Astyanax mexicanus: one gene and its partner. The protein of the gene in region 1 interacts with the protein of each later gene in a pairwise test. Links are inferred from orthologs where the notes say so. Each region holds a gene or a part of one and is shown in the gene's direction. Other genes may lie near its edges.

Region 1 (10,771 bases):
GAGCTCCAGGTAAGCCAGGGTGGAGCTACCTATCAAAAAGCCCGGCCCACCCTGCTAATTCCCGCCCACTACATGCGACTGCCTGGGACCCACCCCTGGTCAGGCCAGGCACTTCTACTCCAATCAGATGAACAGAGCGAGCTGGAGAGCATCCGGGCAGAACTCAACGCATCCCATCAGTCCAAAGGAGAGGCAGTAAAAGGGGACAAAGAGGGAGGAGCTCTGGAGGAGGAGAAAGAGAGGTCAGGAGGGGATGGGGAGGGGCCTAGGCCAGCAGAAGAGTGGACTTTACAAACTGCAGCTCTGCCCGAAGCTTTATCCATTCCCAACTCGCTAAGTCAGGCAGGGCTAGGGGTGGTGCAGATGAATGGTGAGGACCAGCTATTGGCTGAAAAGACACTAATGGAGCTGAGGGGCGGGAAGCCCCTCCCACACCCACGAGCCTGGTTTGTGTCACTGGATGGCCGCTCAAACGCCGACATCCGCCACTCTTACATTGATCTGCAGAAGGCAAGCCACAATGCTAGTGTTGCAGGGAGCAACGACGCTAGCCTGGACTCGGGCGTAGACATGAGCGATCTCACGCCAGGCCGCAAGGGCAGAGGTCAAGAACGAGCCCGGCCTACATTGCCCACTTTGGAATACACACAGCTGGTGTTTGTGGAGAGTTCTAAAACTAATGATGATGCTAATGATAATGCTAACGCTAATGCCAAAGTCATCCCCACTCCAGTTTGCAGTCCAGAGGAAAACTCGCTCAACCTCTTGCTATCTGAGAGCGCAGGACCCGAATCACAAGAAGAGACTTTAACACTTTCATCGCCAACCCCATTGCTGCCTTCTCCTCCGCTGCCCTCACCTCCTCCCCTCCCTGAGCCCATGGTGGAGGAGGTAGAGGAGCTGGAGGAGAGAGGAGACGAAGAGCTGATCCTCAGAACTGAACACAAGAACGACCTTGCTGCCCCTGATGACAACGGTGAGGACGAAAATAAAAAGAGCCCTTGGCAGAGGCGCGAGGAGCGACCCCTGCTATCCTTTATGAAATGACCCCCCAGGCATTAAACTCAGCAATTTTGGTCGTGTTCAAATGACAGGAATTGCCTTTAAAGTGATAGTTTGGCAAAGTTAAAACATATGCAAATTATTTTTCTTCATCCCACATATAATGAGTTCCAAAAAATATCCCACTGAATTAGCCAAAATTTCTTTATTCATTTTGTTCTTGAGCATATATAATAAAGTCCCAGTTCTGCTATTTTCCTAATCGGACTCCACAGCAGACCCAGGATGTTCTTTGTTAGCAAGTTAAATCAGCATTATGTGGGTTCAGATTGTTACAATGTTATAGGATATATTACAGGTCAAGATGGTCTACATTTTTGCAGCAGTCCAACTTACAATACACAGGGATAAAAGCAAAAAATTTAACCCATTTTAGTCCCTCCACTGTCATACAGTGGCTTAAGGGCTACATAGTGACTAATATGGTCAATATGTCCAGTATTTCTTATTTTGAGGTTGTTGTAAGAGGGTTTGACTGTTAGTTTACTTGTTATTTTTCTTGTTTTAGCAGATCATGTGCTAATAAAAAAAAATACATTTAAAAATATATAATTTATGTTCTTACATGCAGGGCCATCATTGCCAATTGCCCAATGCTTATAGTCACAAAGTGTTATATTTTGGCCACCATTAAATGCTAATTTTTCATTTTGTCTGAGACATATTTATATCTGCCTATGCCTGCTTACAACAATCATAATGAGGAATATTGGAGATATTGAACTTCATTTAAGATGATTTCACTTGCCAGGATGTCTTTTTTAGTAGTTTAACAGCACGATTCTGTTGGAGGCAAGTGAAGGGCTGTTTAAAGCCAGTGATTACCAGCCTTCACCCTGAAGATCCACCTTCCCACAGGTTTTACTTTCAGTCCAAATCTAATGCACTTCATTTAGCTAATTGGGAAATAACCAGATTGGTCTGGTGAGGGGTGGGTTAGTGTTAGGATTGGACTTAAAATTAAGATGTGTTGGTGATCACTGATTAAGGTATATGATCTGCACAATGCTAGCAAACTAACTGTTGATTTAGAAACTACAGAAAAGAAATTACAGACACTAAAGATATCTTGACTAACTGACAGTTTGGGATGAGCGGGAAAAGTGTGTGAATATGAATTTTTGCCACACTATCACATTAAATACAAGCTTTGGGTTTGCCTATATATATTTTTTGTACTTCCAAAAGCAGAAGCGCTGAGACTCGAACTGATACAGAACTGACTCTAAGCAGCGCTTCAAAGTTCACAATCCAGGAACTTACCCAGGATGCTTATGTATGTATGAACTGAACTTCAAAAGCAAAAAAGCACTCCTTTTGAACACATTTATGCACAACAGCTATGCCTTTTATTATTTTTGTAAATGAACTGAGCAAAAAAGACCAGTTGTAAGACCAAGTATAGCTTTATGAATTTCTGATGTAGTTAATGTGAGCAATACAATGCAATGGTGTGGTTGGCAGCATATGGGCACTGCAGTAGGAGAATTGTAAGTGTGTGCAGCCTTTCCCGTTCTTTACTCCCCAGCTTTTAACTCTTGTGTTATGTATTTAATGAACGGTCTTCCATGGAATCTGCTCTGCTCTGGTCTGTTCTGTTTTGTGCAAGACCCTATTCACCCCTGCTTATTTCATGTGATTTTTGTATCTGGATTGTATTCTGATGAGATATTAACCATATGCATTAAGTGATCAGCTTTGTATCTGTTATGCAATCTTGATGTGTTAAAACCTTAAAAAGAGTTAGCATTATACGGATAAAATCCTGATACTCAAGATGCCTAAAGTGGCCAGGTGAAAACAGGGTCTTAGTGTCTCAATTTCGTTGGTGTTTATTTGTTTAATGCATTAGAATATAAATTTAACACTTACTCAGAGTTTGTGATTGATCCAGATCTAGAGCCATATAATTTGAAGGAGAAAATAAAGTAATAAAGCAACTTTCTATCATTTAAAAAACATTTACATATTTATAAATTCTGAATACGAACAGTAAATCAAAGAAATTGACAATACTTATTGTATTACCCTCTATACACTCTAAATCCAACTATTTGTGGACACTAATGAACGCATTCAGCTACTTCAAGTTGCACCCATTGCTCTTACAGACGTCACACAAGTTGTCCACTACTCATAGTGATGTACTGAAGACACTCTAGAGCAGATAACGGTAATCCAACTTTATATATATATATATATATATATATATATATATATATATATATATATATATATATATATATATATAGTGGAGGGAAAAGTATCTTACAGTTTAGCAAATGATGCAGATGCTGCACAATCTTTTCTGTATTATTTGACAATTCTCAAGCGGACAGATTCTCAGTGTTGTCGTACTGTTACATTTGTGAACTTGCGGATGTGCTTCACACATGCAGGCCCATAATGCTCACCACAGTGCCACAGCTATGCATTGCGTAAATACTGACAATTTGAAAGCTCAATATGCCTTTTTCCCCATTTTATTCACTGCTCTGTGGTTTAAAATGCAATATTTTAGTGAATGTTTTATCCAGCAAACCAAGTTGTTTTTAACTCATTGCTCGGATTTGCCTTTATTTAAGAATGAATACATCATACACACGCAGCCGTACATTCTTTTACATCCCAAAAACAGCTGTTTCTGTCAGAAGTGCCTCAAGCTGATGTGTCCATTTCACCACCATCACTTATCAGATTGGATCTCATCAGATCTCACTTCCATCTGACCATTAAAGACATGTAGAGATAGTTTTCCTGATGGGGATTAAGCCTTGCTGTACATCGTAATTTCCTTTTAATGTAAAAGTTCAGTTTAAATTGCTCTGTAGTCTGAGACTAGGCTTGATCCCCACATGGAAAGCTGCCCACTATTGTTTTTAGCCCCTGATTACTGTCGCTGTGTGTCTGAAAGAGAGAGTGAGAGAAAGAGAGATGTGTATGCTGTATTGTATATGTCTTTATATGAGTGTACTTTTCTGGCTGTGTTTGATCAGGTTTGGGAGTGTTTGTGTGTTTTTTGTGGACGTGCTACACCTGCTGCAGATGTAGCGGCTGTCTAAGCAAATGAGACTGTATATGAGACTGTACGAATATGAAAGTTGTGTTTGATGGCGTTTCTAACTGTGAGAGAACCACTCTTGAGTCAGTACTGTACAGCACTCTTCATCAGTCTACTCTGAATGCTCTGACTGCTTGCTTGTATTATAATTAAGGCTTAATTATCCAATAAAACATACAAAAAAATCTGTAGTTGTGTTTTTTATTTTTTTTTATTTTAATGCTCTGTTCGTGACCATATAACCAGGATTTAGCACCGACAGTGAAATGCCACATAGTGTTTGGATTACATTAATTTACCAGTTCAGTTTAATGGTTGTGATGTAAATGAAGTATTTCAGACAGGTTTGGTTATTGAGAAACTTCCCAACTAGGAACCCTAGGACACAATGTGAAATATAGCCAATTTATTTACTATCCACAACCATCAGTGAACTAAAGAATCTAAACATCACACTGAAAATCATCCACAACGAACATCAAACACATCATACTGAACGTAAAACATGGTGGTGCTAGTGTGATGGTCTGGGCATGTTTTGCTGCTTCAGGGTCTGTTCATGACCTCAAGCTCAGGCATTATTGGGTTCTGCAGCAGGACAATTACCCAAAGCACACAAACAAGTTCACCTCTAAATAGTTTAAAAAAAAAACTAAATGAAGGTTTTGGAGTGACCTAGTTAAAGTCTGATTGAGATGGTGTGGATGATCTTAAACAGGCTGTTCATCCTCGAAAATCCTCCAATGTGTCTGAATTAAGCTTGATTGCAGTTTTTGCCAAGAATAGAACAAACAAGTTAATAGTTTTACGGGCATTTTTCCACACAGGGCTAGGTTGGATAGGATTGGTTTGGATAGTTTTTTTGTTTAATAAATACAATTGTTTAAAAAGTGCTTTATATATGTACTCGGGTTATATTTGCTATTAAAGATTGTTTAATAATCAGAAAAATATTTGTACGACAAAAAAGCAAAAAAAAAAAAAAAAAGAAAGCTCTAGGGGAGCAAATACTTTTCACACCACTGTAAATGTGGTGATGCAGGTCTTGGTGCAGGAGAGAGTGATGTTCTGCCTGTACTCCTCCACTGCTTGAAGATGAACAAAGCTGGACAGCGGAACAGAATTATTTCGAGTGAACAGAGATCAGAGAGTTTTATTGACCCCTTCGAGCTCAAGGATAAAAATAAACACAAAAGTGTTGATCAGTAAAGAAAAATGCCATTCTTCTCATATTTTTCTATTATTTAATTCCTCAAATAACGCAAAGAAAACAAGTTCATATTCATAGTTTTAAGAGTTCAGAAATCATAATTCGGTGGAATAACCCTGGTTTTTAATCACAGTTTTCATGCATCTTGGCATGTTCTCCTCCACCAGTCTTACACACTGCTTTTGGATCTATCTTCCTCTTGATTATATTCCAGAGGTTTTTTTATTTGGTAAAATCAAAGTAACTAATTATTTTTAAGTGGTCTCTTATTTTTTTTCCAGAGCTGTATCTAATCCAAAGTCAGGGCAGGGTTTTCCTGGGAAATCTTACAGCACTTCATGCTTCCCTCTGCTGACAACTTTTATGGAGATGCAGATTGCATTTTTCAGCAGGACTTGGTACACTGTCAAAAGTACCAATTAGTCTTTAATCATATTCAAATTTTCTGAGATGTAAGCCATAATTACTAACAATAAAATAAATGAACGCTTAAAATAGATCACTCTGTGAGAAATACATCTATATAATATGTAAGTTTCAGATTTTGAACTGAATTACTGAAATAGCTTACCTTTTTAATTATATTCTTTTTTTAGATGCACCTGTCATGTGTCAGCAGTGGAAGCACTTACAGCTCTGGAAATAAAATAAGAGACCACTTAAAAATTATAAGTCTCTTTGATTTTTACCAAATTAAAAACCTCTGGAATATAATCAAGAGGAAGATGGATGATCACAAACCAACAAACAAAGCTGAACTGCTTGAATTTTTGCACCAGGAGTGGCATAAAGTTATCCAAAAGCAGTGTGTAAGACTGGTGGAGGAGAACATGCCAAGATGCATGAAAACTGTGATTAAAAATCTGAATTATTCCATTAAATATTGATTTCTAAACTCTTAAAACTTTATGAATATGAACTTGTTTTCTTTGCATTGTTTGAGGTCTGAAAGCTCTGCATCTTTTTGTTATTTCAGCCATTTCATAGTTACTGCAAATAAATGCTGTAAATGACAATATTTTACTTGGAATTTGGGATGAATGCTGTCTGTAATTTATAGAATAAAACAACAATGTTCATTTTACTCAAACATAAACCTATAAATAACTAAATCAGAGAAACTGATTCAGAAACTGAAGAGGTCAGTTAATTTTTTCAGCACTGTATAGGAACAGGCCTAAGAAGGAGGGTGCAGTGTTGGAGCTCTGTGTGTAGAGGGCGCTGTTTCCCCCGCTGTCTCTCAGTGCAGTGATCAGGTTAGCTCGCAGGCTAAGCTAGCGGGTCAGAGCGCCTCTCTACCCCGGCGATGGCGGAGGACAGCGAGTCTGCGGCCAGCCAGCAGAGCCTGGAGCTGGACGACCAGGACACCTGCGGCATCGACGGAGACAACGAGGAGGAGAATGAGCACATGCAGGGGTGAGCAGCGTCCGAAATCCGCAGAAAACTCCTAAAAATGCCCTTTAATCTGATGGGTCTCACAGCGCCTGCTTAGCACCGCGGCCACAGCCGGTTTATGGCGAGCCTACACGCTGTTATAGCAGAGAAATCACTGCTGACCAGTAGGGGGCGTCCGCGAGGGAGCCCATAATGAACGGGGGTGAATGGAGCTAATCGGCTAAAAACTCTTCTTTAAAATTGTAATCAACTAATTGTCAGGGATATTCGTTTAGTTTTGGAAATTATAATTAAGTATTTCGCTAACGAAGCAAAGATAACGTACCTGTATCTTTTATATTTCCTACAGTAAGCTGGTTTTAGGCAGTAAAGGCGCTAGCGTTACTGCTACTGTGAGCTGTTTGGCTGATTAACCTAGAGTTAACAGTTTCATCCCTGAGTTTAAAAGGCATTTTATATTAGGGCTGCAACTAATGATTATTTTGGTAGTCGACTAATCTAATGATTATTTTTTTGATTAGTCGATTAGTCCACGATTATTTCTGCCATGTCCTCCATCTCTAAAAATGATAGAAACATGAGATTTAAAAGCCTTTTATGTTTATATGTTGTTTTAACATAGTAAAAGTGCTAATATTTTGTGAATAAATATGGAATCTGTTGTGTTTGGGCATTTTTGGACATACAGACAAGTTAAGTGTAAACTGTGTGAGTGAGCCTTTTACCCATCTCCCATTACAATTCTGTCCCCAGCACTTTGTGTAATGCAGTAACGTTACAAATTAATGATTAGTCAACAATGAAATTTGAAGTTTTTTTTTTTTTTTTTTTTTTTTTTACTGTTTAGGGATGGTTTATGAAATAAAACGTTCAATATAAAATACAAAATATTACACGTAGGCTCACAATGCAATAGAAATAAAAAAAAATACTTAATTGGTTAAAATTTTCTATGTGAATTTTATAGTAGAATATTAGTCTTCTTTTCTGTGCATTACAGTCAGAAAACAGCATTCTTACATTTTTTTTATTATATTGTTGAAACAAACCCTAGAGAGGTTAAGTTAACCTCAGGGATAACAGGCTACAAGTGTAGGTGATACAAAACCCTTTTTTCTGCAGTAAAATAGGTCATTAACATTCTGAAAACTTTGAGGGGGTTGAAATTTCCTCTGGACACTTGGAGAAGCTGCCTGTTCGCTCTCTACTCCACTTAATAATTCCAGATCAGTAACATAATTTCAGATCAGTAACAGGAATCAACCCAAATTCTGCATGTTTGAAAATAGACGTAAAAACTAGACAACCGTAACAAAACGAAAGGTTTGGAAGAAATAAATCTCTGATTTGTATTGAAGTTCAGTAAAGAGTAGGGGTGGGCAATATTATATCGTATACAATATATCGTGGCACAGAAATATCATGATATTAAAAATCCATATTGTGATAATAGGGCTGTTCTGTCTATTATTTACTGTGAAGCTTTAGGTTTATTTATTGTAAAATTGTTTAAGTTTGCAGTTTATATGCATGCACTAAATATTCTGCAATATTTTTTGCTGCATTATATTATTTTATGCTATATTATTTATTTTGCCACATTATGATTATTCTGTTATAGTATTATACTATATTCCTGAAATGAAATGAATTATTTTAGTTATCCTTTATCATTATCTCAAAAATACCCTGAAATATTGTGATATTATTTTAGAGCCATATCGCCCGCCCCTAGTAAAGAGCCAATTTTATGATTGTTAGTCATTATATTTTTTAAGTTGCAGATTTACTTACATTTTTAAGATAATTTCTATTACGATTACAATTAGAATTTGCAGCAACGTTTATCATTAAACATGAAATCTTTTTTATGTAGTTCATAAATAGAAAAAGATTTTGGTGTGTAATATCAGGCAGAAAATTGACAAAAATGCTAGCCTGTTAAGGGGTTAAGTTAAGTGGGTGTTCTCCTCTGTACAGAGTCTCTCTGCACCGCGGCTAGCCGTGTTTGCTAGCTAACTAACTAGCATTAGCTTAGCTCTGTTAGCTAGGTTAGCTTAGCTTAGCTAGCTGTCAACAATAAGCGGTTTGTGGATGTCGGCGGGTTGTTCTGTGGTTTAAGTGAGAAATCTGGGTTTGGCAGGGCTCGGATTTACAGCTGAGCACTAAAACAATTCTGAAATCGTTCCTGTGCTGCGGTTATATATCGGTTTTCTCACTGATAGCGGCTAAAGCTCAGTGGCTAAAGCTGGTTTGAATGGGAGGCAGGGCTCTGTTTTCAGGCTGGCTGTGATGTTAAATCAGCTAATAGGCATTTTCTTGTGTAAATTAACTGCGCATTTTTAATCAGGGCTGTTATTTAACGCCTAAAGTTGGGTTAAATAGCAGACGTTTACTGACGGTGGTCACCAAACCAGCACTAATCTACTAAAGCTAGTAAGCTAGAAAACCTAACGTTTCTGTGTAGCCGGTAAGATTAGCCAGCAAGCTAACGAGCTAGCTGATGACAGGCCGGTTATTGAAATGATGTTAGCTAGCTAATTAGCTAACAAACAAACACGGCAACGTCTTGACAACGCTGGGACAGCCTGTTGTTTGGTGCTCTCTACGTTCCCACAACGTGTACATGCAGCTAATTAAGCAGAAACTTGAGAAAACATTATCTGACAGCATGTCAGAAGGTCGTGACAACGTTTTAATGACAGTTTTGAGACAACAAACAGCACCACGTTTTGACAACGTTGCAAGAAAAGCATAAAACGTCGCGACAACCTATTGCTGTGTTGTCTCAACGCTGGGACAGCCTGTTGTTTGGTGCGCTCTAAGTTGCCCCAACGTTTTGAGACAATAAACAGCACCACCTTTTAACAACGTTGTGACAACCTATTGTTTTTTTATCTGATCGCATTCTGGCAGGTGTTTTTGAAAACACTAGGACAACGCTAGGACAGCCTGAGGTTTGGTGCCCTCTACGTTTTCAAAACGTGTAAAATGTAATTAGTTACTAAGTCAACAAGTTGTGAAAACCTTATCTGACTTCATGCGAGGAGGGCATGACAACCTTTTAATAACAGTTTTCAGTCAACAAACAGCACCACATTTGGACAACATTGTGACAACCTTTTGTTTTGTTATCTAACAGCATAATTAATTAGAAAGTCAATAAATTAAAACCTAATCTAGCTAGTTAACAGCATGCCAGAAGTTTTTGACAACATTTTAATAACAAACAGCACCAATTTTGACAACATTGTAAGAAATTAGACAACGTTGTGACAACCTATTGCTGTGTTGTCGCAATGTTTGAAAGGTGATAAAAGAGAACACTTTGCCACTGTTAACCACCGGCTGTGTGAAAGCATGCCATAAGGTTAAAAGCAGAAAATGTTGTGAGAAACTACTGCTGCATTGTCAAAACTTTTAAAAGGTTATTAGTTAAACAAAAGTTTGTCACATTGTTGTCAGAAGGTGGTAGATACTGTTTACGCTGTCTTTAAAATCATGCTGTAAACAGTATCTACCACCTTCTGACAACAATGTGACAACCTAATGTTGACAGCACTGTGGCTTTTTTGACAACTTTGTGGCAATGCTAGGACAGCCACATATTGAGTATTGACATTCATTATTCAGGTATAAGTATAGATACTAGGGTTTAAAAAAACCTTCAGTAGTATCAACTCAAGCTTTATACTCAAGTAATAGTGTAAAAATACTGGTTTTAAAACTACTAATTTGTGAAAGTAATGTAAGGGGGTATATTTTTACTTTTTGTCCAACAGTGTGTAAAATGTAACTAATCAGTAAGTCAAAAAGTTGTGAAAATGTTCTCTACCTAACAGCAAGCCAGGAGGTCATGACAATGATTTGATAACAATTTTGAGACAACAAACAGCACCACCTTTTGACAAAGTTGTTAGAAAGCACTTGTCACAACGTTTGAGTGGTGGGTTAATTAAAGAAAATGTTGTGACCCTGTTGTGAAGGTTGGGAAAATTGTGAATATTATTTTTTAAGGCAGCGTAAACCGTAGCTACTACCTT
Region 2 (10,486 bases), on another chromosome or scaffold:
TTTTACTTTAACTGTGTAGGTGGTATATATGTATATATGTATTTTGTATTTTTTTGGCACCTTCTACATTTATTTTAGAAGATATAAAAATAATTTAGCAAAGCGGAAATGTGCGTATGTATATATATATATATATATATATATATATATATATATATATATATATAGCTTTGTTTCTCTATTTATATATATATATATATATATATAGCCTTTAATCCTTTAATCTTAAAAAAAGTAGTGTTTTTGTTATTTATATATTTTATACTGTTTAATATAGATATAAATTCATGACTCAAACTAATTAAATAGAGATTTTAAAAATTATACGTATTACATGAATTTTCTCCACTTACTGAAGCATGCTTCTCTATAATAACATTATGTTTCAATTATAACAAAGCACATAAGTAATATATGAGGGATATATCTTTTCTGAATGATATAGAAATTAATAAATAAAGAAAAAAATATTGTAAAAGCTTAATATAAAGAAACAAAAATATTTTAAATTCAATTCTAAAAGTAAATATAGAACAATTTATAAACTTGAAAAATAAAAATTGAATTTTCTAGTCAAATTTTCTAGCCGTCCCTGAATCTACAGGCTGTAATCAGTGTGTGTGTGTGTGTGTGTGTGTGTTCATATATAAGACAAATGAATTCAGTGTGGAGGGGAATTCTGACAGATGGGTGCTGGTTCTGTCCCACTGGGAGCGTGAGAGATAAAGACTGATTTAGGAGGAGGTCCGGGGCCGAACAAGGCGAAGACAAAGAGCCGCATGATCCCACACACACTCACACACACACGCACACACACACACACACACACACACACACACACACACACACACACACACACAAACACTTCCAGTGACCACCATTGACATGTATAAGAATGATAGCTTGGCCGGGGGGTGGGTTGGGGGAGTGTGGACGAGCGTTTATACAGGTTAATCACTTGTTATTGCAAAAGCCCATTATGTTTTACATCTGCACCAGAACTATCCCTCACCATGCTTAGTTCTACTGAAGATCAAAGAGCTACTTCTGATTCTCCATCACTCATGACAAGAAGAACATCAGGATCACCAAGAATAATCCAAAATAAATAAAAAAAAATCCAGAATGAATCAGAATAATCCATTACAAATAAAACAACCCAGAATTTATCTGACGAATACACAATATTTCAGAAATAATGCAAAATATATCATAAATAATTAATGAGAATAATCTAATAAATCTAAATCTAAATAATCCACCACAAAATAAACCCGACTAAGTAAGAACAATTAAGAGGCACCTGCAAACAGTCCGAATATATCAAGAGAAATCAAAATAATCTGGAAAAAAAGAAAAGAAATAATCTAAGGCAGGCAAAATAAACCCAGAAAACAACTAAGGAAAAGTCAAAACTGACATGAAAGCCACATAGTATGCAAAATTCACACAAAGATGTGTTAAAATATGTCAAATTAAGACAGCATATGTCCAAGCAAGTCAGTTTAAAACAGGGTGAAGCTAAAAAAATGTCAGTATAATCCAGAATAAAACAAAACATGACTCTTATAAATTAAAATATTATTACTTAGTTTTGATAATAATGCTATGCAATATTAAAACTGGAATGATCTGAAATAAATCAGACTATTGCCCATCATCTGGAATAAATCTGAACAGGTTGGGATAAATCTGAACAGGTTGGAATCCATCTGAACAGGTTGGAATAATCTGGAATACATCTGAACAGGTTGGAATAATCTGGAATAAATCTGAACAGGTTGGAATATCCTATAATAAATCTGAACAGTTTGGAATAATCTGGAATAAATCTGAACAGGTTGGAATAATCTGGAATAAATCTGAACAGGTTGCAATAATCTGGAATAAATCTGAACAGGTCGGAATAATCTTTAATAAATCGAAACAGGTTGGAATAAGCAGGAATATATATGAACACGCTGAAATAATCAGGAATAAATCTAAACAGATCGGAATAATCTGGAATAAAATTGAACAGGCTGAAATAATCTGGAATAAATCTAAACAGGTGGGAATAATCTGGAATAAAATTGCACAGGCCAAAATAATCTACAATAAATCTGAACATGGCAAAATATTCCAGAATAAATCTGAACAGGTTGGAATAATCTGGAATAAATATGAACAGGGCAGAATAATCCCAGAATCAATATGAACAGGTTGGAATAATCTGGAATACATCTGAACAGGTTGGAATAATCTGGAATAAATCTGAACAGATTGAATAATCTGGAATAAATTTGAACAGAACAGAATAATCTGGAAAAAAATCTGAACAGAACAGAATAATCTGGAATAAATTTAAACAGAACAGAATAATCTGGAATAAATCTGAACAGGACAGAATAATCTGGAATAAATCTAAACAGGTTGGAAAACTGACTTTAATTCAAGAATAATTCAGGTCCAAAGTTCACGGTCATGCTGTTACACTTTATACACTCTCTGACCTCACTGACCCCTGAGTGTGTGTGAGTGTGTGTGAGTGAGTGTGTGTGAGTGTGTGTGTGTACCTCATACTGGATGTACTGTTTCCTCCACTCGGGGGTGATGTGGGCTGAAAGGTGCTCAGCGAACTTCATCCTGAAGATCCGATCACTCCCTCACCCCCCGCACACTCTCTCACCCCTCAACACACTCCACACACACTAAAGCTCCGGGATAATCTCTGCCGTGTGTTTGTCCGCGCGCTTATCACGCTGTCAGAGGCATATCCGCGAGCCCGAGTAAACAAACTCAGTCCGAGAGAAAGAGAGAGAGGGAGAGTTACACAGACTGAAAGAGAGAGAGTCTGACTGAAGAACTGCGACTGAATCTGCTGTAACCCACTCACTGCCCCGCCCTCCTCAACAGGCCCCGCCCCCTCTCTCATTCTGCCCCTCCCTCCTCCCCTGCGGCGTACACCGGCCTGCGTCATGACGCACAGACGCGCTGCCGTTTATTTAAATTTAACATAGCACCAAATATAGCAAAAAATAAATAAATACAGATAAAAAATAAAAATAAATAAAATAAAATAATAATAATAATATGTTAAAATGTTACAGCTACTTCATAACATGAAAAAATAATTAATTAAATATTCTACAACTATTACAAATTACTACTATTAATTTAAAAAATAAAAAAATAAAACTACTACTATACAGTGAACTTGCCTACATTATTAGTATTGAATTTTAAAAAAGGTTGATTTAATTACTATTACTACTAAAATATTAATAACAGTTTAATACATATGTTGTATTTCACAGATTTCACAGCTGAGGCTGTCACAAAGCACGCATAGGAAAAATTATAATATACCAAAAATTAATAACAAGGACAACAATAATAAAGAAAATAAAAAAAACAATTCATAATTGATTAAACCATCAACTACTCAATTACTATGACTATTACAACCTTACACATATACTACTACAACTACTACTACTACTTCTATTACAACAGCTACAACTAAAACCATAACAACTACTATTACAACTACTACTTCTACTACTATTGCTACTACTGCTACTACTATTGCTAATTATATTACTACACCTACTACTGCTGCAACAACTACAAATACTACTAGCACTACAGCAGCCTGGTTCATTCTGAGAACTCTTTTTTATGCCACTGATAAAAATGGTAAACATATAATGATACAATTAATTCAAATAGCAATTAACTTGTAATTATTGGCATACATATTTGTACACTGTAATTAAAACAAATATCGTAATAAGTAGGTGCTTAAAAATTGTAAGTAAATAAGACATAAGCAAAATTATTTAATTTATGTTAATAGGCTCTCATGCCTAAAAAGGATGCTGAGGTTAGCAAAACCATTGAAGTCATGTGGATATATTATATAATAATGGGATGAGTTATATTTGTGAGAGTGTGAGACAATCCAGTAGCAACATCAGTCTCCATCATTAGTCAGACAGGACCGGATAAAATCAGCCGAACCTGAAATCCTTGAAAGAGTAACACTCAGTATCTACAATGAATTATTCAGAAGTTATTCAGTATGAAATATGTCTTTAATTTATTTATTAACACGCTCCTGAAAGCACTGTGTTAAACATAGGGATAAAAGAAAGGTTGGAAAATAGTCGTGTGAGTTTTTTCCTCTGAAGAAGCAAACAGTCAGCACTCTGTGTGTGTAAAACGCACGGACACAGCGCCACCCTGCGGGCTCAGCCAGTAATGCAACTTTATTATTCAACATAAATAAACACTGTACTAATTTATGGGCAAACAAAATATTAAATATAATTAATGTTTTTCTTGTGGTAATTAAAGTAAACAAAACAAGCAGCAAAAAAGCAGCAAATGTTGTTCAGCACCTCCAGGAACACCTTTAAGACACTGAGAAAACTATTCCAGGTAGTTTTCACCTAGAGTGTGCAGATCTGTACTCAAAGATAAATGTGATGCTTAAAATAATCTAAAATATAAAACATAATTTGGTTTGTTTAACACTTTTTAATTCACAAAAACTGAACTGTATAACTTTATAATGTAAAACATCACTATTTTTAAATAACTACAATTAAAAATAATTCATCCTTTATTTTATAAAATTCCAAACTATGTAAATCTTGGGAACATAAAAATAAAGCTCGGCTTTGATTGGTTAGAAGCTCGTCCCAGAATGACGCATACAGGTAAAAATGCATAAAATGCTTTCTTTATATGACAGAGTTTAAACAAACAAACAAACAAACAAACAAAATAGATAGACATTAGAAGATATTAGATATTAGAATAACAGATAATTGAAGAAAAAAATAGAAAAATAAAGCTCGCCCCTGATTGGTCAGAAGCTCGTGGTCTTCGAGAGCTTGCTCCTCTCTGATTGGCCCAGGTCATGCTCGCTGCGAAACAGCACGCGCTGTGTTTAATAAAACTCAGATTTAAGTTATCCAGAGAATCAGTAAAGCCGGATTAATCAGACCGAACTCGAACTCTGTATTCATTCTGTAATCCCGCTCCACCGTTCAGTCCGGGTCAATCCGGAGCATTTACAGCGCCGGACCTGCCCGGACCAATAGGAACCCACTTTTATTTACGCCTGTTTTCCGCCATCTGCAAATCCTGACCTCTTACTGAGTGGCTACTTCGAATAAAATATATATTATAATAACATTAATTACAATATTAAACAAACAACATTAAAATATATATTTTTGTTGGTTTAAGTAGTTATAGATGTTACAGTAAACAATGCAACATAGAGTAAATTATATAATAATTATACTACTACTTACTACTTATTATTTTAATGCTGGTGTGTAAAACAACCAACATAACGTAAAATAAATAAATATGATTAATCCATTTTTTCTGTATATAATTCTATTAATCTCAAAATGGGTTACATAATTATAGAAATAGATTATAACTCAGCATATTTACATTCACTAAATTACATAAAATAAAAAACAGCTCAAATTGATATCATAACAACCACAATCCTATAAATAATCGTGAGTAAAATGCAGAGAAAATAGCGAATAATGAATCAGAAAATACATTAAATAATTCTGTAAATTGTGCAGCAACGTTTCTATTAAAATTAGCACTCTAATACATATTTATTAGGTAACGCATCAAACATCTAATAAATAAATATGATAAACAATCCTTTTTTTATTTTCTTTAAATTGTCCTATTAATCCTATGTTGATGTCAATATGAATAATTCATGACAATTTCTGATATATTTAGTGTAATAGATTATAACTAAGCATAAAGTTTAGTAAACACAAATAAAAATCCAGCCCACAGTTCACACCATAATCACACAATACTGTAAATAATCGAGTATAATGCAGACACAAATCCAGATAATGATTAATTATAAAATACTAAATAATACTAAATAACCCTTTCAAAGGAGCATTAAATAATAAAATACAAACTACATTTGAATGATTCGTGAACTATGTATAGTTCAGTAAATAATGGAGTCAAAATGTTAGTTCTGCAGATTTTACAGTGAACCAGCCAATCAGAACACAGCGGGGCACAATACGGGTGGGGATCTGAGGAGGCCCCGCCCCCGTGACCCGGATGTTGTGTGTGTGAGCGGTGTGTGTGAAGCTGAATGCTGTAGATCAGCAGGTTTATCCCGCAGCGTCGCTGTTTTTACTGTTATTAATAATAATAATTCGCGTATTAGTGCTGCTCCTCTCTGTATCATTACTCTTATTAATAATCCCGCCATGGCCTCGCGCTCGTCCTCGCCGGACTCTGACGGTTCGGAGCTTCAGGAGGAATTCGAGAGTGCAGCGGACCGGGTCAGAGAACTGGTCCAAACAGCACCCAGAGACAAGCTGCTCTACCTGTACGCCAGGTACAAACAGGTGAGAGGAGGGGGAGGGGCTTCTGATTATCCTCATATTAACAACCACATCTGGACACTTTAATAGAAACGTCCCTACCGTGTGCTTACACTTACTGGCCACTTTATTAGAAACACCTATCTGCTTTTACTGACTGGCCACTGTATTAGAAACACCTACTTACTATCTTGTGCTTCCACTCACTGGCCACTTTATGAGAAACACCTACTTACTATCTTGTGCTTCCACTCACTGGCCACTTTATTAGAAACATCTACTTATTACCCTGTGCCTCCACTCACTGGCCACTTTATTAGAAACACCTACTTATTACCTTGTGCTTTCACTTACTGACCCATTTATTAAAAACACCTACTGTACCTTGTGCACCTCTGTGGCCACTTTATTAGAAACACCTACCTGCTTCCACTGACTGGCCACTTTATTAGAAACACCTACTTACTTTTAATGACTGGCCACTTTATTAGAAACACCTACCGGCTCCCACTGACTGGCCACTTTATTAGAAACACCTACTTGCTTTCACTCACTGGCCATTTTATTAGAAAACACCTACCTGCTTCCACTGACTGGCCACTTTATTAGAAACAACTACTTATTTTCAATGACTGGCCACTTTATTAGAAACACCTACTTGCTTCCCCTTACTAGCCACTTTACTAGAAACACCTGCTTGCTTTCACTGACTGGCCACTTTATTAGAAACACCTGCTTGCTTCCACTGACTGGCCACTTTATTAGAAACACGTACCTGCTTCCACTGACTGGCCACTTTACTAGAAACACCTACTTGCTTTCACTTACTGGCCACTTTACTAGAAACACCTACTTGCTTCCACTGACTGGCCACTTTATTAGAAACACCTACTTGCTTTCACTCACTGGCCATTTTTATTAGAAACACCTACTTATTACCTTGTGCCTCCACTCACTGGCCACTTTATAAGACACCCACCTGCTTCCACTCACTGGCCACTTTATTAGAAACACCTACCTGCTTTCACTCACTGGCCATTTTTGTTAGAAACAGTGTATTTCTACTGTAATAACATTTAATAAGAGTAGTACGCTGTAATATAATGCTGTATAATGTTTATTTGTTCTTATAATGTTTATGCTGTTTATTCACCAGGCTAAAGTTGGAAAGTGTGACACACCCAAACCAGGATTCTTCGATTTCGAGGGTCAGAGAAAATGGTGAGTCTCAGCATGTTTACAGACAGTTGATTTAGACAGATAATAATAAATAAATAAACTGCATTACCCTTGTGGTATATTTAGTCACAGTTAATAACATGTTTAATATCTGTCAAGTTTTCTTTGTATTTGCATTTAACTAAATTATACATTAGAAGCATTAAAGAAAAACAGAGATTGTGAGGTGAAGGCGTGTGTTGTGCTGTTATATGAGTCGATCATACACAGCAGTGCTGCTGTAGGTTTTAAACGACTCACCACCCAAATAATAATAATAATAATAATAATAATAATAATAATAATAGCTGCTCTGAGTTGTTTTTCTCTCCTGTGGGGTCTTGAGTATTATGGAACAGGATAAAAGGAGGATAATAATAATAAAGTATGCAGAGAACAGATACAGATCTACAGTCTGTAATTTTAGAACTACACAGTGTCCTATACAGTCAAATGAATAATGTGTATAAAAACTAGTCATCATTTTATGATGTTATTGATCAGTGTGTATATAACTGTTACATCAGAACACAGATTATTTTTGGTCCTCTGTATGATATTATAATGCTAAGAGGTGTGTGTGTGTGTATGTGTGTGTGTTCTGCAGGACGGCGTGGAAGGATCTGGGGGATATGAGTAAAGAACAGGCTATGCAAGAATATGTGTCGTGTGTAAATGAGCTGGATCCAGAAGGGAGCGCTAAGGTACTTTTAAACCCCGCCCTTTCATACAGCACCACTCACACACCTGTCCTGCTCTTAAATGTTGTATATTTTGATAAAAGGAAATAATTTCAGTTGCTGCAGTCAGTATTGACTGCATGTGACCAGCAGATGGCAGTGTCTGACTGTTAGAATCCCTAAGCAACGTTTCCCTTCATTCAGCAAATGTTTTTTTTTTTTTTGATGACCTATGTTCAACACTATTATTAAAAATCAAATAACAGGTGTATTCAGTGGGATCAGTTCTATAAAATGTGTAAATTCCAGTAAGATCATTATTGAACTAAGGGAACTAAATGCTTTTGTATTACCAGTGCTGAACTTTCAAACCTGTTCAGACCTGTGTAGACCTCTGAACTAAACCAAATCATGTTGAATCAGTACTGAACTGACGTCAACTGAATCATTTTGGATCCGTGCTGGATTGAAATTAACTGAATTATATCCAGTAGGATTACTGCTAAACTGAGGAGGATTGAATCATTGCACCGAAGTGAGCTGTATCATTTTGGATCAGCATTAAATTGAATCATATCCAGTAGGATCGGTGCTGAACTTTTAAACCTGTTCAGACCTGTTTAGACCTCTGAACTGAAACAGATCATGTTGGATCAGTATTAAAGTGAAGGTGAACTGAATTGTATCTAGTAGTATCAGATCTAAATTGAAGAGAACTTAATCGTATCATGTAGGATCAGTACTAAACTGAACTGTATCAGTATTGAACTGAAGTAAACTGAATCATTTTAAATCAGTACTGAACTAAAGTGGACTGATTTTGAATGATGATCTGATCTGATCTGAGTCTTGTTGGATCAGCTGAATCGTATGAAACTGAATCTGAATCAAGTCAGACCAGTATTAAACTGAAGTGAACTGAATCAAATTCCAAAGGATCAGCACTAATCTGCACTAATTTAAAATAAATTGTCTCGATTCCAGTAGGATTAATATTAAAATGAAATGAACAGAATATTTTTGAATCAGTACTGGACTGTAGAAAACTGAATAGTGTCAAATCAGTATAGACCTGAAGTAAACTGTTTTTTGTTGGTTCAGTATTAACTTATAGTGAACTGAATCATGTCAGATCAGTATTAAACTGAAGTGAACTAAAGCTTTTTGGATCAGTATTAAACTGAAGTGAACTGAACCTTTTTGAATCAGTATTGAACTGAAGTGAACTGAACCTTTTTGGATCAGTATTATACTGAAGTGAACTAAATCTTTTTGGATCAGTATTAAACTGAAGTGAACTGAACCTTTTTGGATCAGTATTAAACTGAAGTGAACTGAACCTTTTTGAATCAGTATTGAACTGAAGTGAACTGAACCTTTTTGGATCAGTATTAAACTGAAGTGAACTAAATCTTTTTGGATCAGTATTAAACTGAAGTGAACGGAACCTTTTTGGATCAGTACTGAACTAAAGTGAACTAAATGTTTTTGGATCAGTATTAAACTGAAGTGAACTGAATCTTTTTGGATCAGTACTGAACTAAAGTGAACTAAATGTTTTTGGATCAGTATTAAACTGAAGTGAACTGAATCTTTTTGGATCAGTATTGAATTGAAGTGAACTAAAGCTTTTTGGATTAGTATTAAACTGAAGTGAACTGAATCTTTTTGGATCAGTATTGAATTGAAGTGAACTAAAGCTTTTTGGATTAGTATTAAACTGAAGTGAACTGAATCTTGTTGCATTAGTATTAAATTGAAGTGAACTGAACCTTTTTGGATCCGTATTAAACTGAGGTGAACTAAATCTTTTTGGATCAGTATTGAACTGAAGTGAACTGAATCTTTTTGGATCAGTATGAGCTGAAGTGAATTGAATCTTCTTGTATATGGCAAATTGTTTACCATGTATTAAACAACTTTATCATAAAATAACAACCCTAGCTTGTCTTAGCGTCCTTCTGTTTGAAGAAAGGGGAGGAAAAATATATCTAGTTTTAGATATGGTGGTTTTTAAAAGCGTGGAGCTGCTGTGTTTCTGCAGTGATGTGTTTTGCTTCTGTCTGATGAAAAACTGAAAGCTTTATGGCCAGGCTGTCACACAGTGTCAAAACTCAGTCAGAACTGCGTAATGGAGTCAGTCCAGCTGCTGCTTCAGCAGAACCGCAACCCCCCCAATCAAACCCCCACAGCCTTTTGTGTGTTTAG

The links.
Region 2: the proteins of nmt2 (region 1) and acbd6 interact in binary tests that used the Homo sapiens proteins (3 or more experiments, as listed by UniProt). The link is inferred for Astyanax mexicanus from reciprocal best matches to the Homo sapiens genes NMT2 and ACBD6.

What each region holds. Positions count from the first base shown.
Region 1 is NC_064408.1:111,973,114-111,983,884, forward strand, and holds the start of nmt2 (glycylpeptide N-tetradecanoyltransferase 2), read left to right. Parts: upstream 1-6,594; 5' UTR 6,595-6,639; coding exon 6,640-6,749; intron 6,750-10,771. Other genes in the region: protein FAM171A1, read left to right, coding at 1-1,047.
Region 2 is NC_064419.1:9,251,884-9,262,369, forward strand, and holds the start of acbd6 (acyl-CoA-binding domain-containing protein 6), read left to right. Parts: upstream 1-6,112; 5' UTR 6,113-6,263; coding exon 6,264-6,404; intron 6,405-7,536; coding exon 7,537-7,601; intron 7,602-8,205; coding exon 8,206-8,302; intron 8,303-10,486. Other genes in the region: xpr1a (xenotropic and polytropic retrovirus receptor 1a), read right to left, coding at 2,556-2,624. UniProt on the Homo sapiens protein: Binds long-chain acyl-coenzyme A molecules with a strong preference for unsaturated C18:1-CoA, lower affinity for unsaturated C20:4-CoA, and very weak affinity for saturated C16:0-CoA. Does not bind fatty acids. Plays a role in protein N-myristoylation.